Elephas maximus indicus: one gene and its partners. The protein of the gene in region 3 purifies or fractionates together with the protein of the main gene of each other region. This does not show direct contact. Links are inferred from orthologs where the notes say so. Each region holds a gene or a part of one and is shown on either strand. Other genes may lie near its edges. The genes, in order: YTHDC2, SF3B1, LARP7 and NAT10.

The links.
Region 1: the proteins of LARP7 (region 3) and YTHDC2 purify together in Homo sapiens (affinity purification with mass spectrometry; 3 studies listed by BioGRID and IntAct, with this or other methods). This does not show direct contact. The link is inferred for Elephas maximus indicus from reciprocal best matches to the Homo sapiens genes LARP7 and YTHDC2.
Region 2: the proteins of LARP7 (region 3) and SF3B1 purify together in Homo sapiens (affinity purification with mass spectrometry; 4 studies listed by BioGRID and IntAct, with this or other methods). This does not show direct contact. The link is inferred for Elephas maximus indicus from reciprocal best matches to the Homo sapiens genes LARP7 and SF3B1.
Region 4: the proteins of LARP7 (region 3) and NAT10 purify together in Homo sapiens (affinity purification with mass spectrometry; 3 studies listed by BioGRID and IntAct, with this or other methods). This does not show direct contact. The link is inferred for Elephas maximus indicus from reciprocal best matches to the Homo sapiens genes LARP7 and NAT10.

What each region holds. Positions count from the first base shown.
Region 1 is NC_064820.1:123,199,302-123,207,032, forward strand, and holds the start of YTHDC2 (3'-5' RNA helicase YTHDC2), read left to right. Parts: upstream 1-4,715; 5' UTR 4,716-4,928; coding exon 4,929-5,136; exon of another isoform or gene 5,137-5,484; intron 5,485-6,393; coding exon 6,394-6,484; intron 6,485-7,731. UniProt on the Homo sapiens protein: 3'-5' RNA helicase that plays a key role in the male and female germline by promoting transition from mitotic to meiotic divisions in stem cells.
Region 2 is NC_064824.1:95,769,842-95,777,616, forward strand, and holds the start of SF3B1 (splicing factor 3B subunit 1), read right to left. Parts: upstream 3,023-7,775; 5' UTR 2,944-3,022; coding exon 2,916-2,943; intron 1-2,915. UniProt on the Homo sapiens protein: Component of the 17S U2 SnRNP complex of the spliceosome, a large ribonucleoprotein complex that removes introns from transcribed pre-mRNAs.
Region 3 is NC_064823.1:37,905,241-37,912,525, forward strand, and holds the start of LARP7 (la-related protein 7), read right to left. Parts: upstream 3,011-7,285; 5' UTR 2,825-3,010; intron 1-2,824. UniProt on the Homo sapiens protein: RNA-binding protein that specifically binds distinct small nuclear RNA (snRNAs) and regulates their processing and function.
Region 4 is NC_064825.1:89,338,314-89,345,199, reverse strand, and holds the start of NAT10 (RNA cytidine acetyltransferase), read right to left. Parts: upstream 3,010-6,886; 5' UTR 1,900-3,009; intron 1-1,899. UniProt on the Homo sapiens protein: RNA cytidine acetyltransferase that catalyzes the formation of N(4)-acetylcytidine (ac4C) modification on mRNAs, 18S rRNA and tRNAs.

The DNA of each region.
Region 1 (7,731 bases), on a different chromosome or scaffold from region 3:
CGTTTAACCATTCACCAGTTGAAAGGCATTGGGTTGTTTCTAGTTTTGGGCTATTACATATAAAGCTGCTGTAAACATTTGTGTGCATTCTTGTTATATAAGATGATAAATGTCCCTATTTGGGGCCTCTTTTGCTTGGATTTTCTGTTCCTTGAAGCCAAAGCATCTTAACCAGTACTGAATGTAAAGGATGAGCTTGGAACTCTGCTAAGCACTTTATCTGCATGAAGTAATTTAATATACATTAATCCCCATAATAACACTGTGATGAACGTGTTTTATCATATACATTTTACTCATGGGGAAATAATAGCATAGTTAAATACCTTGCTTTAGACCACACAACTATAAAATAGGAAAAACAAAGATAACTTGAAATCCTTTATAAATATTTTATACCTCCCCTACCTTTTAATTTTTCTCTGAAACACATGGAAAAAGTAAAATTGCGGTGTTCTGCTTTTAAGCACCTAGAAATTCCTATGGGCATATAAAAATATTAGAAAATGTAGAATTTGACAAACATTGTATCTTATTGCTAAGTAGCTTTAGACAAGTCGTTATTCTCGTGTATTTCAAACACATTCTATACCATTGCTAGGCACTAGGAATACAAACATTTAGGCATTTCAATACCTAATGATAGCTAGGTACTTAACATATGCTGTATTCACATCAAGGCTATAAAATTAGTCTTACATATACCCATTTAAGGATGAGAAAATTGAAGCTCAGGGAGGCTAATTAGGTAGTTCAAGCCACAAAGCTAATAAATGATGGGGTCAATAAATGGTGGAACTAAGAGGAGATGGTGTGCGATTGATAGCAGTATGTGTCTGACCCCCATGCAAAATGTTTTCAGTTTTATCATAACACATTTGGTGCATCTAGATATTACCTACTTTCTATGTTTTGTCCTAGAATGAAGATGGGTTTCATGATTTGCTGGCCTAGTTTCCATCCCTACCCCAGTAATTATCAACAGCATGGTGTTGGGGCAATTTTTTAATCTCTTTTAGTCTCAGTTTCCTCATTTGTGTCATGGGTAATAGAACTACTTCACGTGGTTTTTTATAGAACTCGGTACTTCATATGGTTTAAATATACTAATAGAACTACTCCACATGGAGATTAGGGAAAATAAAGACAATGTCCCCATTGAGGGTTTTATTATTGCATAGCTAAGGAAATTATGATCTACTGAGATCAAGGTAGTAATAAATGTTCACCCAGTTCATTGGAGACTGTCTTAGGCTGGGTTCTCTAAAGAAGCAAAACCAATAAAGCACATAAATACATATATAAAAAATAATATAGAGACATTTATATTAAGGAAATGGCTCACGTAGTTGTAGAGGCTGGAATTCAGGTCAGGCTGGAGGCTTCTCCTGATTCATGTAGCTGCAGGGGCTGGGGAAACCAGGATTGGCAAGTCAGACAGCAGGGCTTTGGTTCATAGGCTGTGAAGACCGATGAATCCAAAGATGGGCAGGCAAGACAGTAGTTAAACTGCTAGCTCAAATCCCAAGAGCCAGAGGTCAGATTAAAAGAAGCCAGCACACGATCCAGTGCGAGCAAAAGCCCATGAGCCTTGCCAGAAAGTCCACTTATATTAGATGCAGTTTACACTCCCAAAGAAACTCCCTTTCGACTGATTGGCTACTCACAGCAGATCCCATCATGGAGGTGATCACATTGTATCAAATCTCATCACGCAGGTGATCACATCATTATATGAATGACAAACTATATCATAACTGCCAAACCACCCAGATTCATGGCCCAACCAATTTGACACTCAATGTAAACGATCACAGTGACCATGCCAGGGCCATGAGGAGGACCTGCTCATTCAGTACTGTTTCTATTAGTAGACAAAAGATATTAGGAGTTCAGAGATTATGATTAAAGTTTTCTGAGGGCAGAGATGACCAATCCTAATTCTAGATTCTAAAATATGGCCAACTAATACATATTTACAGCATTCCTATATTTCTAGGTGTGGATGAAATAATGGCAAACAAGGTATACAAGGTCTCTGCTCTTAAGGAGCTTATATCCTAGTGATAATAGCAAATAATAAATGAATGAATATTTTCAAACAGTGGCAGATGATAACAGACTGAGGTGAGAGAGGTTATCTAGGTAAAGGATGGGGTCCTTCCTTAGATGATAAGAAAGAGATGTCCATGTGAAGTTCTGGAAGATTGCTCTGTGCAGTAGGAAACTATGCAAGTATAAATTCCTCAGAAGGTAACAAACTTGATGTGTTCAAGAGACAGAAAAATATTATTACATCTGAGGATTTAAAGTGAGGGTGAGAGTGGTGGGAGATAAGATCATGAAGGTAGGCAAGGTCCGATCACTTAGGGTCGTAATATGGAATTGACTGTTCTAGTTGCAACGAGGAGCCATTGGAGGGCTGTGGTAGAGGTGCAATCCTAACTAGTTTATGAACTTAAAAGATCACTTTGGTTGCTCTCTGGAGATTGGATGATAGGAAGCAACCACGGTGGCTAGGATTGGGTTTATGTTAGTGGGATTGTATATAAGCAAGAGAAAGTTCTCTTACCCTTCCCTGATCTTTCAAATTAAAGGGGCCCATTCCATCACATTATATAGCACTTATTACTACCATTTAATCATCTACCAAACTTGTTGCCTCTCCTCCCCACTTAGGGTTGCCAGATAAAATATAGATGACCACCTAAATTTGAATTTCAGATACACAACAAATAATTTTTTAGTATATGTATGCCCAAAATATTGCATAGGAGATTCTTGTGCTAAAAAAGTATTCCTTATTACCTAAAATTCAAATTAACTGGGTATTCTGTATTTTTATTTGCTAAATCTGGCAACCCTACACACACTAGAATGTAAATTCCACGAGACCAGGAACCTTGTCTATCTTGTTCCCCAAAGTATATCAAGGGACTAGCAATACACAGAGTCAGTGTACCGAAAAGAATTGGTTGACATTCAACCATTTCAGGAGGTATCATGTGATCAGGAACCAATAGTACTGAAGGAAGAAGTCCAAGTTGCACTGAAAGCATTGGTGAAAAACAAAGCTCCAAAATTGACAGAATACCAATTGAGGTGTTTTGACAAACGGATACAGCCATGAAAGTGCTCACTCCTCTAGGACAAGAAATTTGGAAGACAGTTACCTGGCCAACAGACTGGAAAAGACCCATATTTATGGCTATTCCCAAGAAAGGTGATCCTACCGAAAGCAGAAATTATTGAACAATATCATTAATATCACACACAAATAAAATTTTGCTGAAGATCATTCAAAAGTGGCTGCAGCAGTGTATCTACGGGGAATGGCCAGAAATTCAAGCTGGATTCAGAAGACACGGAACCAGGGATATCATTGCTGATGTCAGATGGACCTTGGCTGAAAGCAGAGAATACCAGAAAGATGTTTGCCTGTGTTTTATTGACTATGCAAAGGCATTTGACTGTGTGGATCATAGCAAATCATGGATAACAGTGCAGAGAATGGAAATTCTATAACATTTAATTGTGCTCAAAGGAACCTGTACATAGATCAATAGGCAGTTGTTTGTAATGAACAAGGGGATGCTGCTTGGTTTAAAGTCAGGAAAGGTGTGTGTCAAGGTTGTATCCTTGTACCATACCTATTCAATCTGTATGCTGACCAAATAATCCGAGAAACTGGATTATATGAAGAAGAACGTGGCATCAGGATTGGAGGAAGATTCATTAATAACATGCGATATGCAGATGACAACCTTACTTGCTGAAAGAGGACTTGAAGCACTTACTGATGAAGATCAAAGCCCACAGCTTTCAGTACGGATTACACCTCAACATAAAGAAAACAAAAATCCTCACAACTGGACCAAAAAGCCACATCATGTTAAATGGAGAAAAGGTTGAAGTTGTCAAGGGTTTCATTTTACTTGGATCCACAATTAACACCCATGGAAGCAGCAGTCAGAAAATCAAAAGATGCATCGCATTTGGCAAATCTGCTGCAAAAGATCTCATTAAAGTGTTGAAAAGCAATGATGTCACCTTGAAGACTAATGTGTGCCTGACCCAAGCCATGACGTTTTCAATCGTCTCATATGCATGTGAAAGCCAAACGATGAATCAGGAAGACCAAAGAACTGATTCCTTTGAGTTGTGGTATTGGAGAATAATAGGCTGCCAAAGAATGAATAAATCTGTCTTGGAAGAAGTACAAACAGAACGCTCCCTATAAGCAACTATGGCGAGACTAGTCTCACGTATTTGGACATGTCGTTAGAAGGCATCAGTCCCTGGAGAAGAACATCATGCTTGGTGAAGCAGACGGTCAGCCAAAAGAGGAAGAAGCTCAATGAAATGGATTGACACACTGGCTACAACAGTGGGGTTAAGGATAACGATTGTGAGGATGGCACAGGACCAGGCAGTGTTTCGTTCATGAACAGAGGGCTGTTAGGAGTCGGAACGGATTGACTGCATTTAACAACAAGCATAGTGGCAGGCATATAGTGGGAGCCCATACATGTTTATTTAATGAATTAATAAAGGATGAAACCAAATGATGAGTGACGATAAAAGAACGAACGAGACTCGTGACAGAAAGGAGGGAGAAGACATAAAGTATCTGCTTGGTGAGCACCGGTTGCGAGGCGCGGCGCGGCGCCCAGCTGAGGTCACGGGCGCCGGCGGCCCTGGTGACGTCACCACGCCTGCGCTTTGGAGCTCGCTGAGGCTCTAGTGGCGCGGGCGCTTCCTCGCCTTTTCTGGTGACTGAGGGGCTTTGCTGTGACCCCGACACAGCCCAGGCTACCTGCCGAGCCGTCAGGTCCTAGCAGTGGCCTTCGGGGACCACTGCCCCGGCATTGGCCGCCAGCCTTCAGGTCTGGGCCGCTCTCCTGCGGGGAGAACATCTCCTCAGGACCATGTCCAGGCCGAGTAGCGTCTCTCCGCGGCCCCCAGCTCCCGGCGGGGGCGGTGGAGGCGGAAGCGGCGGTGGAGGGGGCGGCCCAGCGCAGTGTGGCCTCGGGGGCGGTGGCCGGGCCAGGGGGCTGAAGGACATTCGTATCGACGAGGAGGTGAAGATAGCAGTCAATATCGCCCTGGAGCGATTCCGGTACGGGGACCAGAGAGGTGAGGTTCCTGACAGGGACCCCGCCGGCTGGCGTTCCCCCAAACTCGGACCTTCGGAGTGAGCGGGCTGCCCCCTCCACCTCAGAGAAGGAGAGAGGACCTGGGCCGCACACCCTAACCCACCCGAGTGAGCCGGCGACCTTCCTACTCCTTGCGGCCTCAGAGGCGGGCCGGGGGCTGGGACCGCGGTCCTCGCCCTCGGGTGGGATGTGTAGGACCGAACAGTGTCCCTCGGATCGGTAGGGTTATGGGGCACTTTGCCTGGCGTCAGAAGGCGAAAAGGTCAGGTTGTTACCCGTGACAGAGGCATTTCTTTCTCCGTGGAGAGGCTAAGCCACTGTCTTTTAGGTACTGGTATTTGATATCTTTTTTTTTTTTAAGTAAAAGATTGTAGTCTTATCAGAGTCGTGTTTAACCTATAAAAGTAGAAGAATAGAAGGAAATCAAACATAAATACATTGGCAATATGTGGTGCTTTGTTCAAATCCTAGGAGCGTTATAAACATTGAAAAAAGTTAAACCTGTTGCGGCATGTGAAGCATCTTCCGTGTCTCTTAAGGTTAGAAAGCTGCTTGTCTTGGGTCACCAAATGCAGAACCAGCAGCCGACCTGTGGTGAACTGTACGATGTATATTCAGTGTTCATCCTGAGTCGCTGGGTTAAAAAGAGGACCCCCTAACTCTGGAAGCTTATGGTCCAAAACAGAATGACCTGAACAGAGTGATTCTGAACTTACATCAAACAAATGTAAAACCTGAGCAATATATAACTACAAAATTCAGCCTGAAATATTGAAATATGAATTCTCTGAAGTTTCAAAAGCAAAGCAAATTGAGTTTGATGTTGAGCTTTCATAATGGTTGAGCATACCTCATCGTTGATGGAAGTTAACATTTTGTTAAACAAGTGAGGACTAAGTTAAGGTAGTAAAATATGTCCATTAGCCATTATACCAAGTCAAGATTGCAGCACAAATAGGAGTACTGTTTGATGAACATCAGAGTTCTTTATCACATTTAGGTCTAATACTTAGATGACATTTTATTAATATGAAAATTCTGGTAGACATTTAGTAGTTATTGAGTTAATATCTAAAAAAAATATATCTACATATCATAAATTTAGTAAGAATAAATATGATTATATGCTTGTGATTTTTTATTTCATATTTTGCATATATGTGTGTATTGAAGCACCTTGAAAGAAGGTTGCCTATCCAGAAGTGGTACTGACGATTTTATGTCTTTTTCCATATAGAAATGGAATTTCCTTCTTCTTTGACCAGTACTGAAAGAGCCTTTATTCATCGATTGAGTCAGTCTCTTGGTTTGGTCTCTAAAAGTAAAGGGTAAGCTGATAACTCTCTTTATTTAAAAAGGAAAAGATTATTTGCAAAAAAAAGGGAAAATGTTTCTGACTACACTTAAATAGTTATTATTGTTTTAGATTCACATTGTTAATTACCTGCATGTAGATAGACTATCAGATCTGTACTCAGTTGACATCTCTTCCTCCTGTGCTCCCTAGCCCTGCGGCAAAAAAAAAAAAAGCTAAGTTTTAACGTGTAAGAAAAAATAGTTTAAAACTTGAAGTTGATTGCTTGAGAAAAATGTTTTCTTTTTTAATAGAAATAAAGTACCTATTTTTTAAAGAATGAATGGAAAAATGATACTAAGTACAGTTATTTATAGAGCTTATCTCTGTAATTATAAGCTTTAGATCAAATTCTTATTGTTTTCTTTCCTACCGAGAAGTGAAGAATCTGATGATTAGAAATGGTTAAATGGAGCAGGAAGAAACTATGTAGTGTGTGTGTGTTTCACTGACCAATAGGGGAAAAAGTCATTTGAGCCATCCAAATTTAAGAACTCTAAAATTCTGTGGAGCTGTTTCATTTTGGGAATAGAGATTGTGAGATTGATAAAGAACAGAGTTTCTCAATATTGTCACTATTACAGTTTGGTCTGGTAAACAAATAATTTATAAGATCAGCACAAAGCTGGTTCCTATGAGGTAGAGGTTAAAGATGTCCCAATTGGGCAACTTTTCCAGACTGCTATACTACTCTATCATCTATAACATCGACTACTTTCTTTCCTCTCAGTACCCTCCCTCCCATCTTTGGGTTCGCTGATTTGCTGCAGCGTCTCACAGAACTCACAACCTGTGTACAGGAAATAGCTCATGCAGTTGTAGAGGCTGGCAGGTCCCAAATCTGTGGGTCAGGAGTAGGCCTCTCCCAACCCATGTGGCTGCAGGGGCTGATGAACTCAAACCAGAAGTTCAGACCACAGGCTGCTAGCTCACAAGGTTGCAGAAGTTGACAATCAGGTCACAATACGCCACCAGCCCATGGGGCTGCAGAGGCCCGCGAATCCTAGAATTGGCAAGTCAGATTGCAGACCTCTGGCGCCAGTCCCAAGAAGCAGAAGTCAATCAATCATGGGATCCTGAGGCACAGAGAGAGAGCCCTGCCAGGGCATCCACGCATATACCTTAGAGGCGGGCCACACCACATGGAAGGGCATAACTTGAGTAAGGGTGGGACTTAAATCACACCCTCCTGCAATGCTGTGACCCAAGGGCCCAAAACAC
Region 2 (7,775 bases), on a different chromosome or scaffold from region 3:
CTCATTTTTGAGCAGTAGATCACCAGCCCTTTCCTCCTAGACACCTCTGGGTGCACTCAAACTTCCAACCTTTCAGTTAGCAACTGAGCCGGTTAATTGTTTTGACCACCTAGGGGAAGGAAGACAGGCACTTTATTCTGCAGACATTTGGAAGCCAAGCTCAAACTTACCACCCTGTTTCAAGCCTTCCATAAGCTGATGCTAACCTAACATTTCTTCCTCTCAGTTCAGGAGGTTCCCAATAATGAATAAGTCCTGCATCTATCTCAGCCAAACATGTCCAAACCTACCTAATTCCTTCAAAGGTCAGTTTAAGTGCACCCTTTCTATAAAGCTCTCTTAATTAAGTCCAGTATAAATTAATCTCTTAATAAATATTGATTAAATACGTGAGCACCCATTAGGTACTAGGTACTGGACATACCAAGGTACAGTTCCTATATGAAACTACTTCAATCAAGTGGAAGAGAAAGCCTTAATACAATATCCTAAGTAAAAGTTGGAAACCCTGGTGGCACGGTGGTTAAAAGTTTGGCTGCTAACCAAAAGGCTGGCAGTTCGAATCCACCAGGTACTTCCTGAAAACCCTATGGGGCAGTTCTACTCCATCCTATAGGGTGGCTATGAGCTGCAATCAACTGGATGGCAACGGGTTTGGTGTGTTTTTTTGGGGGGGGCGGGTATTTCTATTAAGTATTTATCACTCTGTCTTCTTTCAGGAGCCCTGGTGGTTCAGTGGTTAAGATCTCAGCTTTTGGTGAGCAGTTTGAATCCACCAGCCACTCTTTGGAAACTCTATGAGGCCGTTCTACTCTGTCCTATAGGGTCTCTATGAGTCTGAATCGACTCCACAGCAATGGTTTTGCGTTTTTTTTTTTTTTGGTCTTCTTTTAATCATATGCAGATGTTTCCCCTATTATATAAGCTCCTTGACAGCAGGAGGTCCATCTTCATTTTTTATACTGCACAGAGATGGGCAGGGCCTTGTACACTGAATGTTCTAACACATTCTTTGTGTCATCAGTTAATTCACATTGATAGAATAACCCCAAATAGTAATTCTGACCAATAAATTGCAATCTTCTATCAACCAACGCTTTTAGCTGGGTTTCTAAAATGCGGGAAAAAGTTAGGACTTTATTGATGTTCCTGTCAAAGGTTCTCTTATGATGACGATACCAATAAACAACTCATCAAAGCCACAAAATGGGCCAAGGGAATAATCTACTCCTGCATGAATAAGAATGGCAACATATTTACATTTTCTAATTATTTAACAAAAGCTATGTTTGATATACTCTAAAACCAAGAGGAAAAGTACTTAAGGACACGTCTGGATTAAGGCAGTGTTTAAATCCTATACACCCAACAAAAATAATAATAAAGTCATTGACAATTCATTAGCAAGCCTCTTAAATTGCAGAGACCTGGACCTCGGGTTGGCCCAACCATTCTATCCACACTCTAGTCCCAACCTACCTTCCCAGATTCATCTTCTACTATTTCCCTGTTTGCACCCTCTTTTCCTGCCACAGCAGACTGCTCAAACACGCCGTTAACTTTCACAGCTCACACTACCTTGTTACAAAATGCTCTCTCAGGCTCAGATATTCTCCCCTAGTTGAAAACTGATTGATCTTTTCCGACCAGGGACATGTCATCGCCTCTGTGAAATAACCCTAAATATAAATTAATCACTCCGTTCCGAAGACTCCTGAAACATACTGCTTTTACTTCTATCTAAGCACTCGTTTGGCCTAAGAGAATGTATATACATCTATTTCCGCCGTTAAAGAATAAAATCTGTGACCTTATATTCTTTGGTCTGCTAACCGAAAGGCTGATGGTTCAAACCAGCAACCACTACGCGGGAGAAAAACGGTGGCAGTCTGCTTCCCTAAAGATTACAGTCTTGGAAATCCTATGGAGTGGCTATGACTCGAAATTGACTAGGCTGCAGTGTGTCTAGTTTTGGTTTCGGCATTCTTTGTTACCCCTCACAGAATAACACCGAGCCACACATAAAGAACATGGATGGTACGTGAAATAAAAGTAACTCTTTCTCTTGGAATTGTGTTCAGTGAAGATTTTGGATTTCACATCAGATATCAAGGAATGCAGTTCTAACTTACCACGCTTCATCTTTTCTGAAAAGGGACCCCCATTTCCTATCACCTCTGGGCCCGCTCTTAATACTCCTTAGTAGACTTCAGCCTATTCCCAACATGTCCGTAAATTTCGTATAATGTGCTCTGTATTCCATAAAACGATCAACTAGTTTGAACGCTTCGAGCATCGATAACATTAATGTGCCCTCACCTCCTTCTACCTGCTTCTCCAATAGCCAGCTCCAAAGAAAAACAGCACTACTATGCTAAAAGTGACTGAGAAAAATTTTACACCCAAATCATGTCGTGCAACAAAAACAAGTAACCCAGACACCTGAAGACACATATTACTCAAGGTTGGGAGTAGTGGGCCTCTGTTCAACCAAACCCGATATAGTGCTGCCGAAAAGCAGTTGCCGTATTTCAGTGCCTTTCTGACTTTCTTATGTACAAACTATTCCGACAACAGTTCCCAGAAACGACTGAGACTTTCCTCCCACACCCGTTTCCCCAACCCCTTGCGCTGGAATCCTCTTTAGCAAGCAGTTTAAACAAGGCCCTCTGGTCGGAGAAGGGAAGCAACAGTACCCAAGCACGGAACAAAGCGCCTGTCGGGGGTGTATGAGTAAGACGCCATTACATGGGGCAGTGGCCTGCGCCGCTGGCGCCAAGGCGACGACGCAGGCCTCGAAGCACGGGCTAGGACCCCAACGAAAAAAACACACAGGAAGAGGCAAAAACCTAAGAAGACAGAGTCTTAGCAGCCTGGGCAACAGAGAAGACACTTAAGCAGAGGAAGATCCCTACCTTCGTGAGTCTTTGCAATCTTCGCCATTTTACCCACTCGAACACACAGACGGAACTGGCGCTCCTAAGAACTTCCGCTCGCCGCCGCCGCCGCCACGGAGAAAAACAGCTGGAGCTGCTCTCTGCGCAGGCGCAAAACGGGAGCGCGCTCCGTGGGTGACACGTGACAGAACAGCCATCTAGCTGGAAAAGCAAGGTGAATTGTGGGTATGGGAGGAGCTAGGGCTGGAGGCTGATGTGGCTTACTTGTTGACTCAGACGGGAACCGGGTGAGCCCTAGCGCCCTTAAGTGTGTAATTTTGCCTTGGAGAACGTGGCTTTCACGAGGACAGTTTAGAACAGACACTGTACGGTAAATTACGGTTTCGGGGCTGGGAGAAACTTCAGCAGGTCTTCAATCCCCTTTTTCCAAATTCACCGGAAGGTGTGTCAGAGCCAGAGAAGTGTTCTTTAGCATGTCTGTACTTGCAATGCTTAGTTATGGAGATAGTCAAAACAGCCTCATCCTTCGCGCTGTAATTCAAAGTCATTTTTTTCCTTTGGTAATTGCCTATCATTTGTGTAAGGGTTTTGTTTACAACATAAAGTACCCAAACATTATTGAATCTCATAAATAGCCCAGTAAGTAAAGTTGTTGCTAATCCTAATTAAGAAATGAGAGAAAAACTAGGGAGAACATGTATAAATTGTTTAAGGTCTCACGGTTTTTAAGTTGCACAGCAGGACCGTTGCCCCCCTGACTTAACTTTATGGGTTCTTAGAAAACCACTGACCGTCAGCAGTAAACACTATAAAATGCGTCTCTAAATTTTAAACATCCTTCCTACATTAGGAATTTTAGTCAATGAGAGTACCGCCGCCTTTTTTTCCTATGCATCAATATAATATCATAAACTCTCACATTTGCCTAGGACTTCAGAGTTGAAAAAGAACAGATCTCAAAGGGAAGTGTGGTCCAGGAAGCAGCTTAGGAAAACAACGATGGAGGTTAGAGCCATCAAAAAGGAAAGAGTGTACCTTGACGTGTGATCGATTCACAACTCATATTTAGAAAAGCATTAGTAACAGAAAAAGTGCATTTTTGTTTTGGTTGTTGTTAGGTGCCATCAAGTCGGTTCTGACTCGTGCCAGGTCCTGCGCCATGCTCACAATCGATGTTATGCTTGAGCCCATTGTTGTAGCCACTGTGTCAATCCGTCTTGTCGAGGGTCTTCCTCTTTTCCGCTGACCCTGTAGTTTACCAAGCATGATGTCCTTTCCAGTGTCTGATCCCTGCTGACAACATGTCCAAAGTATGTAAGATGCAGTCTTGCCATCCGTGCTTCTAAGGAGCATTCTGGTACTTCTTCCAAGATAGATTTGTTCATTCTTTTGACAGGCCATGGTATATTCAATATTCTCCAACACCACAATTCAAAGCTGTCAGTTCTTTGGTCTTTCTTACTCATTGTCCAGCTTTTGCATGTATATGATGCGATTGAAAATACCATGGCTTAGGTCAGGTGCACCTTAGTCTTCAAGGTGACATCTTTGATTTTCAACACTGTAAAAAGGTCCTTTGCAGCAGATTTGCCCAATGCAATGAGTCTTTTGATTTCTTGACTGCCGTTTCTATGGGTGTTGATTGTGGATACAAGTAAAATGAAATCCTTGACAACTTACGTATTTTCTCCATTTATCATGATGTGGCTTATTGGTCCAGTTGTGGGGGGTGGGTTGTTTATGTTGAGGTGTAATCCATACTAAAGGCTGTAGTCTTTGATCTTCATCAGTAAGTGCTTCAAGTCCTCTTCACTTTGAACAAGCAAGGTTGTGTCATCTGCATAACACAGGTGGTTAATGAGTCTTCTTCCAATCTTGATGCCCTGTTCTTCATATTGTACACCTTCTCGGATTATTTGCTCAGCATACAGATTGAATAGGTATGGTGAAAGGACACAACCCTAACACACACCTTTCCTGACTTTAAACCATGTGGTATCCCCTTGTTCTGTCGAACAACTGCTGCTTGATCTATGTACAGGTTCAAATTAGTGTTCTGGAATTCCCATTTTTCACAATGTTATCCATAATTTGTTATGACCCACACAGTCAAATGCCTTTGCATAGTCAATGAAACAGATAAACATCATTCTGGTTATTCTATTCTTTCAGCCAGCATCCATCTGACATCAGCAATGATATCCCTGGTTCCATATTCTCTTCTGAATCTGGCCTGAATTTCTGGCAGTTCCCTGTCAGTATACTGCTGCAGCCTCTTTTGAATGATCTTCAGCAAAAATTTTGTTTGCGTGTGACATTAATGACATTGTTTGATAATTTTCCCCTTCGGCTGGATCACCTTTCTTAGGAATAGGCATAAATATGGATCTCTACTAGTTGGTTGGCCAGATAGCTGTCTTCCAAATTTCATGGCATAGACAAGTGAGCAGTTCCAGTGCTGCATCTGTTTGTTGAAACATCTCAGTTGATATTCCATCAGTTCCTGGAGCCTTGTTTTTTGCCAATGCCTTCAGTGCAGCTTGGACGCCTTCCTTCAGTACACTGGTTCCTGATCATATGCTACCTCTTGAAATGGTTGAATGTCAACCAATTCTTTTTGGTATAATGACTCTATATTCTTTCCATCTTCTTTCGATGCTTCCCACGTCTTTTGATACTTTCCCCATACTGCAACTCAAGGCTTGAATTTTTTCTTCAGTTATTTCAGCTTGAGAAATGCCGAGCGTGTTCTTCTCTTTTTTATTAGCAGCAGTGAAAAATCAATTTGATGAATTAAAAAAAAATTCAGTTGTATAATTTGCATTTCTTTATTAGGTTAAACAATAGTTGGGGGAGAAAGGGGCATGAGATAAGAGAAGAGAATGTAGATTGTAATACAAATCATTGACAAAATTTTAGTTCTTGGGTTGGCAGAAGGATCCATGAATATTCATTATATTATTATGTTTTATAACTTACACATAAGTTCCATGTATTCTTTTATATATACAAAATAGTAAAAATCATATATGTATTTTTTTTTTATTTATAGTATATTTTAAAATGATGAAAGGAAAAAGAATGAGAAATAAGGAATGGGAGAAGGGAGTTACTATTCATCAATAATCAACAAACTAAAAGAATTCATATTGGCAAAGAATCACAAGGACATTGCATTCTTGGGTCATGTTTAAAAAAAATAAATTTGTATATACAGGGTGAGCTCAGTCATGTAAAAAAATATATGCAAAGGAAATTCACTAAAAATGTTAACAATAAGTGTTTATGAATGATGGGAATATGGGTGATTTTTATCTTTTCTTTATACTTTATAGTATTTTCCGGATACTTGGCTATGAGTATGTATTATTTTTATAACCAGAAAAATATGTTTTAAAAATATGACAACCAGCTGCAAAGTGGTCTCACCGTCCCTCCTCCTCTTTCCAAGACAGAGATAAACTGAACCTGCTGGCCACATCATGTACGTATTTCTATGGGTTCCTAGGTATTAAATTACTTTCACAGGGCAAGGACATATACAGGATAATGAGATTTGAGAGAATTTGCCAAAAATCAAGGGAGACTCCCTTTTTTTTACTAGTCTTTAATAAAAGAGTGAATTGGACATTCCAGCAGTAAAAAACAAAGTTTGTTTTTTTTTAACAAGTCTCTTTTACATCCTATTTTTTATAGTATTAATAAATAATACTGAGACATTACTTACCCCCTTCAATCCAAACCTCTTCGGGTGAGGTTTTTTATGTCAAAAGTCAGAGGGGTGACCTGGTCCCTGTTTTTATAACACAGACAATTGACAGTGGTAACATCTAATTAAATCTTTCCATTTCTTGTCAGGGGTACTTGGATGCTGACTTTATACATATATGTAGCAAAAAAAAAAAAACCCCGTTGGCATTGAGTCAGTTCTGACTCAGCGACCCTAACAAGACAGAGTAGAACTGCCCCATAGGATTTCCAGGGAGCAGTTGGTGGATTTGAACGGCCAGCCTTTTGGTTAGCAGCCAAGCTCTTAACCACTGTGCCACCAGGGCTCCATAAATTGCAGAGTAGCAAGGATATATAATTTCTCTAGACAGAAAGCAAGGTATAATAATTTTACAAAATGTTAAATGCTAGCTGTAACTCGCATAAATTACCTTTGGAGATAAAACTCTAAAGGCCTTCAAGTTCCATTCTATAGGAACCCAGGTGACAATTTCTCAGGTGAAAAAAGGGTTGTCACAAGACAAGTGGCCACAATCTTGATCTGCAGTGTTGAGTTTTCCAGGGGTCTCATATCAAAGGGGTATCATACTCTGTCCACCCCAGGCCAAAAATATATTTCCATTTTCCTTTATATTATGCCTAAAATTCCACAATTAGAGTTTTATTTCTGAAAAGTTAAGGTATTTCTTAGCTATATTAAAAAAAAAAAGTCCTGATGGGAGGGTAGAGAGGGTTAGAAACTGGCAAAACGGTCACGGAAGGAGAGACTGGAAGGAGGGAGCGTGCTGACTCATTAGGGGGAGAGTAAATGGGAGTATGTAGTAAGGTGTGCATAAACTTATATGTGACAGACTGACTTGATTTGTAAACTTTCACTTAAAGCACAATAAAAATTATTAAAAAAAAATCCTGGAGATAATGTTCTTAATATGTCCGTCAATACACCTATAATGTCTAACTTTTCTTCTAGTTTCGGCTAACCTGACCAACGTCTCTGCTCAGGGAAACAGCTCTGAGTTGTTCCCTTGGACGAGAGATAGGCACCCAGCCAGGTATCTAGTACCTGGCCTGGAATACAGGACACCTTGCCCACAGACAACAGAAGTTACTTGCTTAGCCAAGATTCCTTCTCTCAGAAGTTTGAACTGG
Region 3 (7,285 bases):
TAAGCAAAAAGTAACGTAAGATATGGTACAATTTAGCTTCTCTAGTGATGCAATGGTTAAAGCACTCTGATGCTAATGGAAACGGTTAGAACCCACCAGCTGTTCCTCAGGAGTAAAGACTTGGCAATCTGCTCCTGTAAAGACTACAGCTTAGGAAACCCTACGGGGCAGTTTAACTCTGTCATATAGGGTCGCTATGAGTCAGAATCAACTCCACGGCAGTGAGGTTTTTTTTGTTTTAATTTTTTTGAGTCAGAATCAACTCAATGGCACAGAACAACATAATGACTAAAGAAGATCAGCAAGTTACAAGGCAGTATTTTTATTACAGTCTCAGTCCGTAAAGTCTGTATTTTCTCAATGTTCTGTGATAACAAATGTGTGAATTGTCATTCAGGGCTAAATAAACTTACTATCTTCCCTCCCCTGGCCTAGTTCTCCTTCCACCATTTTCATCTTGTTTAAAGATGCTCTATTCTACTGAGCTAACCAATCTACCTATTTACTAGTTGTGTGAATCTTAGGCAAGCTTGCCCAAGTTACCTCATCTCTCTGTGGTCTATAAAATGGGGATAAACATCATTCTTACCCAACAGGGTTGTTATGAGGATCAAAAAAAAGCAGAGCACTACAAATTGCTGTTAAGTAGTATGCACTCAACACATTATCATTTACCAGTGTGTCTCTACATCCTGTCAATTCAACCTCTGAAATGGTTCTCATCTCCATTTAGTGCTCTCCATTACTACTGTCACTATATGGTAGGGGGACAATTCACATAAATTGCTCTAGAAGTCATCCATCCTTCTGCAACTTGTCTAAGACACAGATCTGATTTGGTGTCTGCTGGTTCTTTGTTGTCAACCTCAAGTCAAAACTTTCCACAACAGAAATTCCTTAGCACTTTCCTGTGATCTAATTTTTCTTTTTTTTTGAACTAATGACATTGGACTGGCTTCTAAACAGGGACTTTAAACAAACAATAAAACGTTACTCTGTAACAATGCCCCCAACCCATTGCCTCTAGTTGATTCCAACTCATAGCAACCTTATAGGGCAGAGTAGGGTTTCAAAGTCCCATATTTTCCAAGAAGCAGCTGGTGGATTCGAACTGCCAACCTTTTTATAACCTCCTCTAATTTACCAAAATGCATTCTATGTTCTAATCCAGGGATTCTTAACCCGAAGTCCATGGAACTTAAAATGGATTTTAGGAAGTATTGTGAACCCCAAGTAAAAAAAAAAAGTAAAAATCATGATTTTTGTAAAAGTACGACATAAACATAAATACATGTCAAAGACTGTACTTCAATAATTAAATGGGGAACCAAAAACGAACATAACAAAGATTGTACTTCAATAATCAATGCGGGAACAAAAAACGAACAAAAAAAAAAAAAGCTCACTACTGTCGAGTCAATTCCCACTTATAACAAGCTTATAGGACAGAGCAGAACTGCCCCATAGGGTTTCCAAGGAGCGACTGGTGAATTTGGACTGCTGGCCTTTTGGTTAGCATCGGAGCTCTTAATCACTTCAAAACCAGGCTCCAAAGAGGGAACTAGGTGTTAAAAATCAGTTCAAATGAGAATTAAAGAGCAGACACATATATAGGTAATTAGGAATGATGAAATTAATTTTGTAATAGATGCAAAACTGATCAGGGCAATAATTACATCTTCACTGGACAACACTAATTTGCATAATCAGTTTTCTACAACTTACATACTAGTAAAACAGTTCAATGACAATGAAACGCAAAGGTGGAGCATGAGCTAAACAGGCACTCAGGGATTTTTTTTTTTGGCATTTCAAAGTTTTAAAATTTTTCCTCACAAAATTATATGCAAAGTGTTTTCAAATGTAAACATGCACTTTTCCTGGGGTGCTTATTCATAGCTTTTACCACATTTTCATAAGCACTGTTGTGCCAACAAAAGTTAAGGATCGTTGTTCCAGTAACAATGGTCCCTGAACATTTTCTTGCCTCTGTGCCTTTGCTGAAATGAGTCTTCTGGTCTGTCTTGCCTTATAAAACCCCTGATTCAACTTCCAAGTCCCAGATAAAATGTCATCTTTCTCTCTACGATCTTACATCACCACTTCTTCCCTAGCTGACTGCTTCCTCATCTGCTTACCCTAAGTATATTTATTAGCATTCAGTACACTGTACTTAGTCCTTGGGTGGCTTAACCTGTTAAGTGCTGACTACTAACCGACAGCTTGGCCATTCAAAATCCAGCCAGAGACCTCGGAAGTCAGGCCTGATGATCTAATTCCAAAAAGTCACAGCCTTGAAAACCGTATGGAGCATTCCTACTCCGCACACGAGGATGCCGCGAGTCGGAATCCACTCAAGAGCAACTAACACACTATTTTCGTAACTAGACGTTCAACTGTTCGGGAACGAGACTGTTGCTGTTACGTGCCATCAGTCGGTTCCGACTCATAGCAAATCACTACATTCTCTATGCTTTGACAGCCGATGGTCAACCCCAGTCTCCCCAAATAGGCACTTTCCTTATTGCTACATCCTCTCTCGGCATCCGTACTTCCTCAAGGATGCTGCCAAAGGAGAGGCGTGCCCCAAACCTCCCAATGGCGGACCATATGCGCCCTCTCGCTCTGAAAACTGGAACTACAAGGCTAGCCAGAGGACTTTCGCGCACGCGCACAAAGAAGTACAACAAGGGCACTAAGACTGGGTTCGTGGGAGGGGGCGGGGTGATTAGGATGACAGATAGAATGGACTGCACGAAAAAGGACTGAGAGGAAATTAGACCTCACCCAACCTGAGCAATCCTATAGGCCACTTGTCACTTACTCGGTTCAGTTCCCCAAACACAGGGACACAGACTGCGTCCTTCAGCCTTTGCCGCCTTCCGATCCTTATAGTCGCGCTTCTTTTCGCGTCATAGCGTGAGCGACACCGTTCTCCAGCTCCCCTCGAGAAAGGCCGGCCCTGAGCCTGTGCGCCCGTCGTTACGTCACAGGCTTGGGCTGGCTGCCGTCGGGCGGGGCATCGGAAGGCGCGGCCGGCTGAGGAGCTTCGTAGCCATTGAAGAATTTGATTGGCAGTTTGAAAAAGGCGGTTCTGGTTGAGGTGGAGGTGGGCGGGCTAAGTAGTGGGTCCTGATCTGGTGTGGTCCCCGGTTAATTACGTCACACTCTTTCGCGGGAGAAATTCGAAAGTGGATTTGTGCAATGGGACAGGTGAAGTGAGCTGTTTCCTGGGGTTTTCGGGCAAGGAGGAGTGGATAGACAGGACGACTTAAGCGAGAGGCTGCATGGCTGTTTTGGGACGAAGGGACGAAAGAATCTGCTCCGCAAGGGGCAGACCGAGAAGGAAGCTGTTCGGGGGTGGGTGACAGGCACAGCTTGCTCGGATTGCCTCTAATAATTGGTGTCTCGACTTCACCGCTTTTGCCAGCCCTACTTTGCAATTTCTGTGAGGACCGGGGAGGGTTTTGGTGGTTGTTTTTAGGACGGACAATGTAATGGGTCAAGCCTTCATTGTCATCTGTGAACTATTTAGGGTGTCCATGGAAACCCTGGTGGTGTAGTGGTTAAGTGCTACGGCTGGTAACCAAGGGGTCGGCAGTTCGAATCCGCCAGGCGCCCCTTGGAAACTCTATCGGGCAGTTCTACTCTGTCCTGTAGGGTCGCCATGAGTCGGAATCGACTCGACGGCAGTGGGTTTGGTTTTTTGGTTTTATAGATCCTGCAGGCAACCTTTTGCATGTATCAAAAGAAAAAGCCCAAGAGTATCTCGTAATTATCAGGAAAATTGGCTCATATTTAACTGAGAACACCGAATTGACACATATATACACGTATATCAATTAATATGTGTGTATATGATTGTGTACCTGTATGTGTATATGCATGCCTGTACATATGTAATTACCACGGAACACCTGGAGCTCTCCACACCACTTAAAAAAATTTATTTGCAAAGTAATTTTTCACCCACTAGAGATGGGCCAGCACTTGAAGTGTCTGACAGCTGTGTATTGATTACCACTTTGTGAAATTTTTTTATCCTTGCATCTCACATGAATATATGATGCTGTAGTATAAAATAATTTTTCTCATTTAATGGTAGGAAAGGGGTGTTTACTGAATGTAGGTATTAGAGCTCTTTTAAATATTTTCTAATCTAATTATCCTTTTTTCCTGAGTTTTAATCCTACAATCTCATTTACTATTTGTAAGAGTTTTTTTTAACCTTCTTTTAAAATTGTAAATCCCAGAAGAAATTTCACTAATTTGGGAAAACAATGGAAAGTTTATCTTACATTTCCTAAATATTGTGTAAGTAACCCTAAATTAGTAAATGCTGGATTCCTAATCTTTAAATCATAGTGGCAATATCACAGTACCTACTCTTCAGGATTATGAGACTGATAAATATTGCATGTAAAGTATCTAGCCTAATCCCTGCCTGACACACAGTAGCGACATGATAAATAGCCCTATAGTATAGCATTTGTGAGTACGAGCGCTAGAGTTTAGGCTACTTGGTTTTGAATTCTGACTCTGCCATTTATTTACTTCAGTAGTTACTTAACTATTATGTACCTCAGTTTCTTTTTTTGTAAAATGGAGATAAAAGTAATACCTACACCAAAAATGTTGTAAGCATTGAAAGCATTTTTAGCAGTGTCTAGCATATACTTGCACTGAATATTATTATTATTAAAGAGATCTAAGATTAATAATTGCCTCATGGTGGGCACAGTGCCTACACTAAATAGTCTCATCTACATACACAGAATGTCTAGCCCATTCAGTGGCTGGGAGCAAGTAGCTGTAAAAGCGCCAGCTAGTAAGTGTTTCTCTGTATCTCTCTATTATTTTCATAGTACTCTGGCAATTCTTGTGAGCTAAAGGGAAGGGATATAGGAATGTGGGAGTTATAGCTTTGAAAGGCAGTGCCTCTAAGTCCTGTCCTGTGACCTGTGTCTTCAGGTAAGTATTCATACCTCATTTGGCTACCTCTTACTCCATTCTTTCTTCACATGTCAGCCAATGTGATCTTTGTAAAACCCAAATTAGATTATGTCATTTTATTTGTTACATCCTGCCATGGTTTCCCATTATTGTCATAAACCAAAAACCAAACCCATTGCTGTTGAGTCAATTCCGAATCATAGCAACCCCACAGGACAGAGTAGAACTGCCCCATAGAGTTTCCAGGGAGCACTTGGTGGATTCAAACTGTCAACCTTTTGGTTAGCAGCTGTAGCTCTTTAATTTTATTGTGCTTTAAGTGAAAGTTTACATCAGTTTCTCATGCAAAAACTTACACACACATGGTTATGTGACCCTAGTTTCTCTCCCTATGATGTGACAGCACATTCCTCCTTTCTTCCCTGTATTTTCTGTGTCCATTCAACCAGCTCCTGTCCCCCTCTGCCTTCTCATCTTACCTCCGGACAGGATCTGCCCACTTAATCTCATGTGTCTACTTAACCTAAGAAGCACACTCCTCACCAGTATTATTTTATGTCTTATAGTCCAGTCTCTGTCTGAAGGTTTGGCAGCTGTGGCTCTTAACCACTATGCCACCAGGGTTTCTATGGCATAGTGGTTAAGAGCTACGGCTGCTAACCAAAAGGTAGGCAGTTTGAAGCAACCAGATGCTCCTTGGGGCAGTTCAACTCTGTCCTGTAGTGTTGCTATGAGTTGGAATCGACTCGACGGCAGTGGGTCATTACTGTCATAGAAAGTCCAAACTCCTCAGCAGGACATATAAGGCCTTCTGAATCCTATTATTATTTACCTTGTCACTTCTTATCCAACCACTCACTCTTCACTTGACCTCTTTATCATACTATTTAGAGTTCCTTGATTATGCTTTACTGCGTTGCCCTCATCCCTTTGCACATATCAAATTCCCTTCTGGAAAGTACGCCTCTGGCATGTTATGGTTAATGGTTATTTGTAGGTACAGCTTAGACATTGCCTCCTTTTGGACCAAGTTTGGTGCCCCTCCTGTACTTATTCCTGTCATATCTTGTTGTAAATACTGCTTATTACCCTGCTGTATTGAAAATTCTTTGAGATCGGCAAAAGTATTATGTTCATTTTTGCATCTCAGCCTAGCACATCGTAAACCAAAAAATCAAACCAAACCTGTTGCTGTCTAGTCAGTTCTGACTCATTGTGACCCTGTGTGCTACAAAGTAGAACACCGTAGGATCTTTTGGATGTAATCCTTATGGAAGCAGATTGACAGGCATTTCTTTCATGGTGCCACTGGATGGGTTAGAACTGACAACCTTTAGGTTAGTAGTCGAGTGCAAACAGCTTGTGTCACTCAGGGACCTCTGGCACATAGTAAGTACTGAACAAATATATGTAATTTATAAATAATATACATTGTTATATGCCATCAAGTCAATTACAACTCAATGACCCTGTGTGGCAGTAGAACTGCCTCATAGGATTTCCTAGGCTGCAATCTTTATGTGAACAGATCACCAGGTCTTTTCTCCTGTGGAGTGGCTGGTGAGTTTGAACCATCAACCGTTTGCTTATCAGCTGAGCACTTAACCACTGCGCCACCAGAACTTCTTAAATAATATATATAGGTGGCATATTTTATGTATTTTATATGGATAAAAAAGGAACTGAACCCACAATCTCAAATTATACCTTTACTGGATCCTCATAGGACTTTAAAGCCTGGGTTCTCCAAACTGCATCATGCAACATCATTGTCTGGAGGGCTTGTTAAAACACAGACTACTGGGCCCCTACCTCAGATCTTCTGATTCGTTTGGTCAAGGATGGGGCCTGAGAATTGGCATTTCTAACAGGTTCCCAGACGATGATGCTAGTCCAGGGACCATACCTTCGGAACCACTGCTTTTGAGGGAAAAAAGAAAAAAAATGTTTCTTTGTTATGTCTATTAATTTTTTCAAGTCACCCTGAGTAATGTGATTTTAAGATTTTCAAATTCGCACACAGAACAGTTTCATCCAATATCATAGGATAGCTACATACCCATTACAACAGTTTTAAGAAAGATTTTTCTTTGCAGAAGTATTATACTGCCTATTTAGTGCTAGATACTGTTGCCATGAGTCAGAATCAACTCAGTGGCAACGGTTTTGTTTTTTTACTGTGATATGGACTTTAAAAAGCAAAAGAAAAAAAAATTAAAACTCAAGGGGGCCATCTTGTGGTGACCATAGCAATTCTTAAAAAATTTAATGAGCGTGTAAGGAACCAAACCTGTGGTAGAAAATCATATTTTCTGATACATGCTATGCTATG
Region 4 (6,886 bases), on a different chromosome or scaffold from region 3:
ATAGGGAAGAAATCAGCCTCACGTTGAAAATTAGGAAACTGAGGTTTGGGAGGTGAAGAAAACACTTCTTCAGCCTAGGAAGTCGGCAGGGAAACTGGAATTCACAACTCTACTGAGAAGTTAAAAAAATCGGAAACTTAAACATCAAAAAATATGTATATGTAGGAGAACGACTTAAATGTATAATGGTATATCCATGAAATAATAACGGGCAGTTATTCCAAAAACTACCTAAAAATATTATATAGATGCTTAGAGAAAACAACACAGCAAGAGAAAGTATGATACTTTTTTTTTATATACATATATATACAATATACAGAGAAAAAAAAAACTGTATAAAAATGCCACAATGTTGTTATTTCCAGATGGTGGGATTGCAAGTGATTTTTATTTGTTCTTTTGGTTTTTTAATTCATGTTATTAACAAAATTAGGAGAAAAAAAGCAAAGACTATTTCTGTGATGAAATGTGTTTCACTGTTTCTTCAAGAGAGGGAAAACCTAATAAAGACTCATACAAACAAATCTCTAAAGTTAAGTGATTATACAAAAAAAAAAACTGCACAATTACTATAATAAGTACACCAAAGAGACATCAAGAAATCAATTCTATTACTGCAATATAAAGGTAAACATAATACACTTCTTAAAACTTACAATTCCTGCTGCATTCTAAGTGTTGTTGGGTACCACTGAGTCAATTCCAACTCATAGCAACCCCATGTGACAGAGCAGAACTGCCCCATAGGGTTTTCTACGCTGTAATCTTTATGAGAGCAGAGGTCTTTCTGCTGAGGAGCTGCTGGGTGGGTTTGAACTGCCAACTTTTCAGTTAGCAGTTGACCACTTAACCTAAACCTTAACCTTAACCATACCTTAAGTGTCCCCTGTAGCCTCCCAATCCAAGTATAAATCTTTAGCAGCTCTGTCTTTACTAGAAAACACTATGTCACCACCAACAGTCCCTGCTTTATCAGGAAAGATTCAAGTATAAAGAATTCAAGCATCACAAGGCAGACAAGTGATGGAGACAGAATCACACTCAGGTATGCCTGACTTCAAAGCCCGAGCTCTTTCCTGTTCACCACTTTGTCCTGCTTGGAGATCTTGTGTTGAGGGCCACAAAAAGATTCCACAAAACTCAGTCAACACCTCATTACAGAGGACTGCTTTTTGCTCTAGTTGCTGTGCTTCAGAAGCAGTACCAGATAAGGTCCTTAGCTTCAAGGTACTTTCATTCTCCTTGGAGAAGGTATTTAAGAGAAAGAGATGAGAGACAACTGAAGACACATAAAATAAGATGTAAAAATAATAGCTACAGCCAGCGGTCTGATGAAGGAGAGATTAGTGTGGATGGAGTTGCCATGGAAGGCTTAACGAACAAGGAGGGCCTTGAAGTAGAGGAACGATGATTATTTCTCCTTCACTCATCTATCGTTTAACAAATACAGATGACACACCAGTCTAGAAGTACTAGTAAACAATCTTGAATGTGACTACTGAAAAAATGATATAAAGAACAAGCGGAGTAGCAAAGGGCGCGAAATCAACAGACCGCCTCAGTTCAACGTCCAGCGCTGCAACTAGGAACTGTTGGAACGCTCCGCGGAGGGCGAAGTGCTGTCACCCACCTACCTCGCTCCTCCAGCTAATGATCCCTTAAGGATAGGATTCTAGCAGCGCTGCCTCCCCACCCCCACCCTCGAGCGACAATCAGCCCGCCCGAGAGTGGCTACACTTTGGGGAAGAAGGGATCCTGTCATCTGGAAGCGCCCGATGGTCGGCGTTGGCCGATGCTCGGATACAGGCTTCGTCCTCGGGACGGTTCTCTCCCGGCTGCGGGAGGACACGGACGCCGACCTCGGCACCCCTCCCCAACCTTCCCGTGATGGGGTACCTGAGGCTGCAGCCCAGAGGATCCTAGTCAGCGGCGAAGCGGAAGCACGTGAGAGCAGTGCAGCCCCAGAAGTGAGGAGGGTTAGCGGATGCCCGGCCGCCTGCTCTCGGATGTCAAGAGCGACGAACATTCAGCTCAGGCGTTGGAAGGCAGTAAAAGCACGCGAGGTAACACGCGGAGAGCGAAAGGGACCTTCCTCGAACCCTGTCGCAGAGTGATGACGTCAGAAACCAGCGAGACGCTTCTGCCACGCAACTCCCGCTTTGCAGTTTGGGCCACTTCTCGCGATAGCTGTGGTGCCGAGGCAACTTGTGTCTTTAGTGTGTCATTCCTAACTAAACCAAAAAAAATCTGTTGCTGTCGAGTGATTCTGATTCATACAGACACTACAGGGCCGAGTAGAACCGCCCCATGGGTTTCCTAAGCTAATCTTTACAGAAGCAAACCGCCACATCTTTCTCCCACGGGGCGGCTGATGGGTTCAAGTCTCCAACCTTTCCGTTAGCGGCCAAGAGCTTTAACCACTGTACCACCATGGCGCCTTATACCCTAGCTACTAAGGGCAAAACACAGATGTGAAATTTAGATTTATCTTCCGCATCCCAAAGCATGTCGTTGTGCTGGGGCTAGTGTGGGTGTCCTGACACGGTTGGGTGCAGCACCCGCTTCTTGTGACCCAGGGTTTCACTGTTAACCTCATTGTGCGAGACGACTGGCTCCAAAAATATGTGCACCATTTTTTGATCCCCTTATTTCACCTCCCATTGTGACGTGAGATACGGAAACTCATTGATTTCACCTGATCCTCCCTCTACCCCGCAATATTGACACCTTGTGGAACCGTCTGGAATTCGTAGTTTTCCATCCATTACAGCTGCTATACTTTGCACGCTTTCCTTAGAACTCAAACTGGCCCTCAAATGACGCGATTCCTCTGAAAGCCAGCTCTGGGGGTATTCCGTTGTACAATTACTTTCCCCAGGCAAACTCGTTGAAGCCCTTGACTCAAAGTGCCTCCAACACATATTCTGTACTTTTACATTTTTGTCTTCGTCAGATTACTCAACTTCAGTTACACATATCCAACTGCTTGGATACTTCAAACTCATAATGTACAAATAAATTCATTTTCCCCCCTCATCCCTGTAAACCCCTTCCCCAACCACCCACACCCCTAACTCTTCATGTATTTGTGGCCACCACTCATCTAGTCCAACTCCGTTATCAAACTCTTTTCTAATCAATTGTCAGTATGCCAGATACTATTTTGTCCACGAGATAGTGACCAAAATGTCCCCGCCCCACCCCATACTAGGTTTACATGGTCCTACTTTTAAATGCTATTAACCAAGTACCAAGTAAAATGCGAGATTCTGCAGAGGGGCAAGAAAGGCCCCCAAGATGGTGACAACGGAGCAAAAGACCTCAATGAATAAAGGAGCCCCAAGAATATTTGAGTGAAAAGCCTTCAAGGCTTAACAGACATATGACAAAGGCCAAGATGGGAAAAATCTTAACAATGCAGCCAGTGCAGCCACAGTCCAGTGAGCAAAAGGGAAAAGGGCAGAAAATTAGGCCACATAATACAAGGCTTTCTTGAACACAGATCGAGAACTTATTCTAGATTTGATGGAAAACCACTGGCGTTCAGGGAGCAGGTGTGACAAGACCTAATTAGCCCTCTTTTAAAAAGCTTGCTCTGGCTGTGGTATAAAAACTACACTACAGAAGGGTAAAAGTAGGAGCAGGGAGAACCAGAACCATTTTAAGTTATTGCAGTTATCTGTTCTAGGATGGTAATGCTGTCTGGCAGTCACAAGTGCTACATGACACCCCATGTATTTTAAAGGTAGAACCATGTGCTTTTGATGGCAGATTAGATACAGGGTATGAGAAAATCAGTTTCAATCTGACATCCTCGAACATTCTGATCAAGATGTTGACTCTGGAGTTCAGGGCCTAGAAATATTTAGAAGTTGCTAAAATGCTAACGAATTCAAAGCCATGGGATTGGATGACATCACCTAGACAAGTCTGACAACCCAGACGTTAAGAATTCAAAGGATAATGAGCAGTGGCCAGGTTTGAGGCAATTTGTAGAATCCATTCACCCCACCCTACCCATTTGTGTTATAAGCATCTCACATGGGCTTCACTGCAACAGCCTCCCTACAACTCCTACCCATACACTCAGTTCTCAACACTACACCATGTTTTTTAACGGCAATTTTATTAGGTAACCCATCAACTTCCCACCCGCCACAGCTTAAAAACCTTCGTTTCCAATTGTTAAGCGACAAAACTTAACATGGAATGTAAAACATAAAGCCCCGATTGCAGGCCTTACCTGTTTCTCCAGCCTGTTTATAATCTTTACTTTCTTTCCACTTGGGCCAAGTAGCCTTCCCAGTCACTGGAGATAAGACCTTTGGACATGTTCTTCTCTTCCCCTCTTTGCTTAGTTTATTACATCTCTCCTTCAAGTCTTAGCTCAATTATCCCTTTCGACCAAGTCTTTCCTGATCATTTTAACATTGTGGTCTGTAATGTCATGGCCTTCACATCTATCATAAACCATTTTTTGTGTCACCAGTATCTCTGAGCAGGAACCACCGTGATTTTGTCCACTCAATGTCTAGCACTGAGCCTGACTGGCAAATAGATAGCCAAAATTGTTTAAGTCTTAGTGGTTCATTACAAAAGTTCCCGAATATAAACACTAGAAAGAAAACCAGTACTTAGAAAAAAGGAATATACTAAAAACTTGACCACATCAGGGACAAATCCCTGATCTTTCACAGCCTACACTCAAAAAGCAGGCTGCTACGTGGACTGGATTGGGCTTCAGAACAGTTTAAGAAGATATTAAAATCCTGACTGAGAGAATGTAGTAGGAGCCTAACTTTCTCTTGAGACTAGGCTACCAAACAGATTTCTTTAATCCTTTTCTTCCCCCCTCAAAAGTAATATTACTTCTTAAGACATTTGCTGGTTGGTTGGTATACACAATTGAAACAGCCCTCTCTCAAGGACAATAAGGAATCAGATTTTAACATGATTTAATGTAATGCGCGAGTCCTGGTGGTGCAGTGGTTAACAGCTCGGCAGCTAACCAAAAGGTCGGCAGTTTGAATCTACCGGACGCTCTTTGGGAACAGTATGAGGCTGTTCTACTCTGTCCTATGGGGTTGCTAGGAGTTGGAATCAACTTGATGGCCAACAGGTTTGGTTTTATATGGGGGGTTTAATCTAATGTGATTTAAAAAATTGACTAGTTTTTTCCAATACTTCTGCAGAATTCAAAATGTGAAAAGACACAGAGATGAGTCTTAACAACTTAAAATCATTTTCCTAAGCTTTCTTTCCTTTTCCATTCTATATAAGGGAAAAGCTCAAGGGCAATACTGATTCTTTACAATTTATAGTTTTTAAAACAAAGTGCTTAGTAAGAACTCAAGTGGCATGTGGATCAGGAGCTTAAAGATGAAGTAAAAGGTTTGAAGTTAGTGCTTACCTGCATCCCATTTTCCCTAATACTGATATGTTCTTGAAAAAATAGTAAACAACCCAAAAAATGTTAAGACACTTAGGAGGCCACCTGCTCCACTACCTTCTACATTTTATGAATTGGTTGTCAACTGCATCTCAGTTAATGAGCCTTCTGAGAAGCAGCCCACATTCTCTTGTCTCCTCTAAATGGGAAAAGTCTCCATGCAAAAGAGCTGCATGTGTAAGAAGACAAAAGAACTATATATGCTAATACATTTTAAGGGTATTTAGTTTAATAACAAGATATATTAACTGGAAAAAAAAACTTATATTCTTAGGAATATTAAACAAAAACCAAACCCATTGCCTTCAAGTCGATTCCAATTCATAGCGACTCTACAGGACACAGTAGGACTCCTCCAGAGTTTCCAAGGAGTGCCAGGTGGGTCCGAACTGCCAACCTTTTGGTTAGCAGCTGTAGCTCTTAACCACTACGCCACCAAGGTTTAGGATCTGGAAATAAAACGGTCCTAACCAAGATAAATGATGACGTCCTATCCTAAATTTTAAAAAAGAAATTCATTACCCATGTGAGATGATTGATACTGTGCGTCTATAAAAGTCTTCTGTATGGGGAGTCTTACTACAAGAAGAAGCTACACAGACATGTGTGACAATTACTCCCTTACAATTCTGCTAAAATATGTATTTGATCAAACAAAGGCTCTCTGCATCTAGGATGAGCACTCACATATTATAAAGGACACTTAATACCAAGACTCACATCTTGATGAGATAAAAAGTTCTCTGCTCCATAATGAGGCACTTCTTTAAAAAATATAGTCTGAATTGAGACATAAAAGCTTTACATTTAGACTATGATGACAGAATGCAAAAAAAGTATACTATTTGAAAAAGAACACTTCTTTTAAAAATTCACATAGAAATAAATCAATTAGCTACTAAACTTTTACACATTCACATCTTCACTAAGGTACAGAAGTTTGAAAGCTGGAAGGAATTTCTTCCCATCCCACCTTGAAACTGATTCATAAAGAACGTCACTATATGAAGAACTTATTTACTTCAACTTTGTAATGTTAAATGTAATTATTTTCTACACAGACAATTAGCATAACATCAACTAGAGATTACCTACTAAACTACAAATATTTTATCCGCCCCCCTAAAATACAGCTAATACATGGTTGTGGTACATCCCAGGCAGATGTCATATAAAGCACGCAAGGGGAGGTGCTAGCAAAAGAAATACTCATTTACAAAAGTAAACAGAAAACCCTTCCAATATGATGTACCACAACCACACAAGAAAAGTCAAGAACTTATTTTATTTTAAAATAAACATTGAAAGATCTGCCCCCAACTCCCCTACAAAACTTTTGAATGTGGAACGTTCAACAGCCTATCATTTTAATAGGGTATAAAACCAGCAGAAACTCCAGTAGTCTAATGGTGAGTATATGAGAATAGTTTTGTC